Linked DNA regions of Caenorhabditis elegans. The protein of the gene in region 2 purifies or fractionates together with the protein of the main gene of each other region. This does not show direct contact. Each region holds a gene or a part of one and is shown on either strand. Other genes may lie near its edges.

Region 1 (2,869 bases), on a different chromosome or scaffold from region 2:
CTAATCCAACAACTGGCCTTATTTTCTTCTGTTTAATGTGAGTTTCGATACTTTTCAGCGACTTTTCCAAATTTAAAGTCTTCAGGTATAGCTCAATGGGAACATTTGTGAGTGGATTTTACACATCACTACTCAGTTTGGCACCACAATATACTGCAACCATGTCTGCAATTTCAATGTTTGTTGCAATGATTGGTAGATTGACAACTCCTGCAGTCATGAGCATGTTCAGAAAAGACGTAAGCTATTTTAGAGATTTTTGACAAATCTACTTGCTATCCATATTCTTAGGGAACCGCTGCGGAGTGGCAGAATATCTTCATAGGATGCTCACTGGCACATATTTTCTCTGGTTCAATATTCTTGTTATTCGGATCAGGAGAATTACAAGATTGGGCTAAAGTTGAGGATGATCAGGAGATGAATGAGAAAGAGAAGCTGAAGACAATTGAGAATGGTATTGTAGTTGTTGAAGAAGTAGATGTCAAAAATGAAATGAGCGCCACGTTGGTGAAAGAGGATTCGCTGTGTCTTTGATAATTTACATAATTTGCTGATGATTTTTTTTTTCATTTAATAAATATTTTAAAAACTTCTTTAATAAGATAATTATAATTTATTGATTAAGAATGTGCGAAAAAGACAGAAAACTTGTGAACATAAGATCAATTGTTGAGAAGGGTTTGAAGAATTTAGGCACTCGTCTCGTTTTCTCCGTCCACGCCTCCCACGTAGAGAACGTTGTTGCATCTAAAGTTAGAACATTTTTCAAGATTTACTACGATATAAATGTGCATAAGATTGTAATAACTTTAGTTTCTACGGCTTGAATTTTTTCTTTTAAAAAATGCACCAACCGGATAAGAATCTCTCCGAGATTTCCTTGACTGTTTCCGTCAATGTACTCCTCGGCGTGAGCCAGCTGCAGATTCATGTAGGAGTCGACAGCAACAAGGACACCTTAAACATTTGGCGCTTTTGGTGAAATATTTCATTATGTCAATACAAACCTTTGTACTCCATTCCCCACTTCAGTTTGCAAACGACAAACTTTCCGGTGAGACTGTTGAGGAACGGTTTTGGGTTCACTGGTTGAACTGCGGACATTTCTGAAATATTTTTAAATAATATATTTTGAAACGAGGGATATCGAAAATAGTGAAGGACACAAGTAATTTAAGCAATAAAAATACATTCAAAGCGTTTCCGAATCACAATTGTTATGTTTGAACAATTTAAGAAGTTTAAAACCCATCTGACGGTTTTTTCAGTGAGATGGAAAGATGTATCTATTTTCTAATAGTGACAAAGTTGTTTTAATAAACATAAACTCAACAAAACACATTTAAAAAGGTTAAAACGCTGCGAAATCCTCCATAAAAATGAAAAAAGAACCTTGAATTTTCGAAAGTTGCGCTAGCATCAGATAATACGACATACTGCAGACTGCGTATGCGACACCATACTTGACGACATAAAATTAATCATACCCATGCATCATGCATGAAAAAGATGTGGGTTTTGGTTTTTTAGTTAATTTAAACTGAGTATTTGTATTTTCCGCTTTTTCAATGTCCTTGTACTTTTTGAGTTTTAATAAGTTATGCTATCTAAATATAGTTAACTTCTCTTCAGCCTCGAATATCCTGCTAAATGGCTTTCGGACTACTGTAGATGATAAAACAGTTCTTTATATAAGGCTCTATTTCTTCCAATTCACAACATTTAACAGGCTCCATCAAAATGTTATCGTCTTTATTTTTCTCTTTAACTGATCACCCTTAAAATCGATAATTTTCTCACCCCATAAAAACGCTCGTTTCAAAGTAGAAGATGAGTGAGACGCCGAGAAAATAGAGAAGATGCATTAATGCAAAGCTGTGACGTCATTTGGTGTCTTTATCCTGTTTCTAAGCTTCTTTCTCATTTTTCCATAAATTTTTCCAAAAAGTAAAAAAAAAAACTGGAAAACATTTAAAAGTTGCTTAAACCATTCGAGTTGTCCCATCTCAATAGTTCCTTTTTTAATTATCGCAGTTTCTTGAAAACTTGATCAAAAAATGTCGAATGATGCAAATTCTCAGAGATAAAGCATTGACCACGAGTCGCCCTATCACTGTCTCTCCATTTTGCGTCTCTTTGTTCATTTCTTTTCGACTGTACTAATTCCAATCATTCAAATTAACGTTTTTCAGGCAAGCAGAAGCAGAGTTTCCAGATTTCTGACTCAACAAATATCATGACACAGGTAAATTATTTAACTTTTTACAAATTACAATTAAATATTCTCATATTTGTGAAAAAAAAAATAATTTGAACATTTTCAGTACGTTTTCGAAATGGGCATGACATGCAATGGCTGTGCAAATGCTGCGCGAAAAGTTCTAGGAAAGCTTGGAGGTTTGGTTTACTTTTTGTTAATCAAATTAATCCTATTATTCTACAGAAGACAAAATCAAAATTGACGATATTAACGTGGAAACCAAGAAAATCACAGTTACAACTGATTTACCAGCATCTGATGTACTTGAAGCTCTGAAGAAAACAGGAAAAGAGATCAAGCAACTACAATAAATGACCCTTTTGATTGTCTCTTTAATTTCTATCCGAATGGTTGTGAATATCGTTATTTTTTGACATTTCTGTAATTTTTGTATTAATTTATGACTCTTGCTTGTAAAATTGTCCTATTCTAAAAATAAACGCATTTTCTAAACTATAGATTTTCTGATGCAATATTTCATTCGAGTTCTTTTAACCGAAATAGAAGGTTTCAAATGTAAACACCTTTTCATGCATTGAACCTTATCCTTATTAGATTAAAGCGTCGACGCGTACATCCGGTGTAACCGTCCTTCTCAGAAAGGTA
Region 2 (3,760 bases):
TTTCCTGTAAAAAAAATTGAATAATAACAATTTCAGTCGCACAGCTTACTTATTTTCCACTGGCATATCTTTTGAGAGCATGACAGAGCCAAACGATACTAGAATAGTTTTTTGTCGCATGTCTAGAATTCGATCCCATTCTTCATTCACTTTGTGGATTTTTAGATTCTCAACATCAACTGAGATTCCTCCAATTTGAACATTTTTCTCCAATGTTGGACGGGGATAGTCAATATATGGATTGGAATTACTGAGTATAAAAGAGCTCAAATGTTCCATTTTCTGAATATCAATGGCTTGATATGGAGGGCGGAATGATTTGAATTCGTGAGTTGGAAGAAGCGAATGGAAAATTGGAACAGCAATTGCATTGAGAAGCCGCTCGGTCATTGTCATTTTGTCAGTGAATTTGGACATAGGAACTGAAATACTAGTTAGTTAACTGTTAATAATGTTTCCATTGTGATCATTGTTTATCCAAAATTATTATACATATCTATTCAAAATGATATCACTCGATTTGTGGTCACAATTAAACAACTATTGAGTAGATTTTTCACCATATCAAGAAATAGGGTTTCAACTGGATTCCGCACAAAATTTCAAGTCCAACGTGCTTAGTTTTTAATGCTTAGTTTTTATGCTTAGATTTTCCAGTTAGTTCCAATTAAATATTTTTAAGACATTCTTTGATCGACTGTATCAGCAAAAAGGTCTACTCACGTGGTACTGTACTCGGTATTCTTGGCTCTCCAATTGATATTAATAAATTTGGATCAAATAACAATGATGACGATGGAATAAATGTTTCAATTTCCAGATATTCAAGCAGAGCTGAAATTCAATTACATTTCGTTCAATTTTAAATTTCAAGACCAACTTACGATATGCACATTCCGCAAATCTTTCAAAAATCATTACATCAAATTTCATTTCTTTGAGCTCATCGAGCACATCTAGATTCTGCCCCAATACAAATGCTTGCTCAGCAAACATTTCATTAAAAAGCTTAATCATTGGAAACATCTCAGCCATCGAAGAGTCATCAGTCCAAAATCTGGATATATCCACATCTTCCATCTGATTTCCGTATCGCTCCAGCTTTTCAGAGGGTTCCAGGTGGATCACGTGTTTTGTGTGTTTCACATAGTTGATCTTCGAAAACTTTCTGATGATTGTAGGTGTGAAAAATGTCTAAAAAATTGAATTTTGGAAACAAACTATTCGTTGACTTTTTTTTAGCGTATTGTTTTAAATATGTAGATTTGAGGTTTTGAGATAGTTAAACGTTTCATCCAAAAATATTACATAATTAAGTTCAAGAATTTCAAACTACACTCGTCATCTATTAATTCGTCTAATTGGAAAAAACCCTTTTTCGATTAAAAAACATTTACCAGACCTGTCTGAGAGTTCTAGTTAAATATCAAAATATTAACAACTCACTCTAAACAATCATTTCAAAAAAAGAGACAGTGTGCACCCTGCCAAGAGGTTTTGGGAAAATGCCAGATTAGGCGGTGATAAACTGAATCATTGTTTTTTAAGTCCATTATATTTGTAGTTCGAAAACTTACTACATTATGCCCAGCTTCAGAAAGAGTATCCGCAATTTTAGCAAAGAAAGTTGTGTGGCTATGACCAAATAATGGAGAGAAAATTAGAAAATTATAAGAAAAATTTACATTGAAACAAGCAAAGAGTAAAATAAGAATTTTCATCCTGATCAATGTTTTCAGACAATTTATTTTTCACTATTTATATAAGGTCTCTCATTTGTATCGGCAGATAACACAAAATAGTCAGAAATTGGTCACATTAATGTATAAAGTGTGTGTGACCATGTCTAGGCTAGACTTTTGTTGTTATTTCAAGTTCATATTATTGTTTTTTTTTCTGTTTTTTAACGATTTGGTTGGACTATTTGAAAAAAAATTACTTCCTGGTAGATAGTAATTTAGTTAAAAATCCACTGAAATAAATAATTATATTATTCAAAAAAAAAACCATTATAACAAAAATTGAAGAGGCTACACATGGGTAGAAAGCGCTTTTATCAAACACTCCATGCATCATTCAGTTTTTCTTTTTATCAAAAAGATATCAAATAAAGACTGTACTAATTTCGTTACTACAAAAACTACAAATGTCAGTATAAAAACACAAATGGCTGCGACGTCAAGCAAGAAATATTCAACGAAAGACATTTTTCTCGAGTATGGATCCAGTGATGGTAGACGCCCAAATCTAGAACTTGAATAATAATTTTATCTTAGTAAAATATAAAAAACCAACCTGGCTGCATATTCAGCATGTTTAACCATCATTTCTTTCGGTTTAATTGGCTGATTCTCAAGCTGTTCTGCTAATTTCTGAGCATTTTTTGCATATGAAGAATCAAACAAAATTGCTTGAAAAGCTTCAATAATTTTCTCAGACTTTCCCAGATCATATTTCGATAGCTCGATAGATCCATTGTGACGGACAAGCATTTTAGTATTTCTCATTTGGTCGAATAGTTGTGGGCACTAAAATATTACAATTTTATAGATTTGAATAGTTTTGACATACCAAGATAGCAGGTTTACCCAAGTAGCTGAGTTCAGTGATACTACCAAGTCCGGCGTGAGTAAGGAAAGCAGAGAGACGGGAGTCAGCTGAAATAGAATAACTGAATTTTAGTTTTTATGTCTTGAATAACCGAAGGAATACAAACTTACCAAGAAGAGCAGTTTGTGGAACCCATTTTGCAAAATGAATATTTTCAATTCCTTTTGCGAATTCGTCAGAACTATCATCTTCATACTTCCAAATAAATGTTACATTTTTGAACTTTTCCATTGCATTTTTCAATGCTATTTTATTTTTGAATGGCATATCCTTTGAGTACAACATTGATCCAAATGACACTAACATTGTTTTTTCTCTCAACTTGAGAATTTCTGACCATGTTTCATCAAGTTTTTGACTTCTCAATTCATTTGAATCAACTGATATTCCTCCAATTTGAATTGTTTTTGTGAGAGTTGGCCTTGGAAAATCAACAAATGGATTAGAGTTGAGGAATACAAATGATGCCTCGGGAACGATAGATCTTATATCAATTGGATTGTATGGAGGTTTGAAAGATCTATGTGTGGGGTATCCAATCATAAAATCAAAATATGGAACCATGAATGCATTGAATGCTCTTTCAGTTATTGATAGTTTATCACCAAATGGAGATAAGCAGTCTGAAACTACACTTGGCATAACTGGTTCACCAATTTCTACTGCCAATGCAGTGTCGTGTGCAACAGATAGAGATGGAATAAATGTTGGGATTTCCAGATAATCCATCAATGCTGAAAATAAAATATCTGGCCTGTTAGATATTAAAAAGCTTACGATAGGCTGAAAAAATAAATGCCTCGAAAATGATAACATCGAATTTCCGTTTCTTCAAATCATTCAGAATTTCGATATTGTCCTTCATCACTGTTCCCTGCTCATTATACATTTTTTGAAAAATCCGAACAACTGTGATAATTTCTGTGGCCGTTGAGTCTTCAGTCCAATACCTGACAAAATCTCCTGTACTCATTTGTCTTCCATATTCTTTCAGTTTCTTCGAAGGTTCCATGTAAACTACATCTTTCGTTGATTTTGTATAATTAAAGTTTCGGTATTTTTCGACAATTATTGGTGTGAAAAATGCCTGAATAAAAGTGTCAATTGATTAATTTCTGATTTGAAAATCGTACCACGTTGTGACCAGCGT

What was found. Proteins that work in one complex are often made in the same cells at the same time.
Region 1: the proteins of ugt-37 (region 2) and snr-5 fractionate together in Caenorhabditis elegans (co-fractionation; one large-scale study listed by BioGRID). This does not show direct contact.

What each region holds. Positions count from the first base shown.
Region 1 is NC_003281.10:7,860,310-7,863,178, reverse strand, and holds snr-5 (putative small nuclear ribonucleoprotein F), read right to left. Parts: upstream 1,110-2,869; 5' UTR 1,108-1,109; coding exon 1,011-1,107; intron 961-1,010; coding exon 858-960; intron 751-857; coding exon 693-750; 3' UTR 605-692; downstream 1-604. Other genes in the region: putative transporter slc-17.3, read left to right, coding at 1-37, 86-239, 292-537; cuc-1 (Copper transport protein ATOX1), read left to right, coding at 2,240-2,248, 2,328-2,400, 2,447-2,574.
Region 2 is NC_003283.11:7,143,584-7,147,343, forward strand, and holds the start of ugt-37 (glucuronosyltransferase), read right to left. Parts: upstream 1,736-3,760; 5' UTR 1,722-1,735; coding exon 1,578-1,721; intron 1,195-1,577; coding exon 885-1,194; intron 835-884; coding exon 724-834; intron 423-723; coding exon 50-422; intron 5-49; coding exon 1-4. Other genes in the region: ugt-38 (glucuronosyltransferase), read right to left, coding at 2,073-2,247, 2,296-2,528, 2,572-2,657, 2,721-3,344, 3,388-3,697, 3,744-3,760.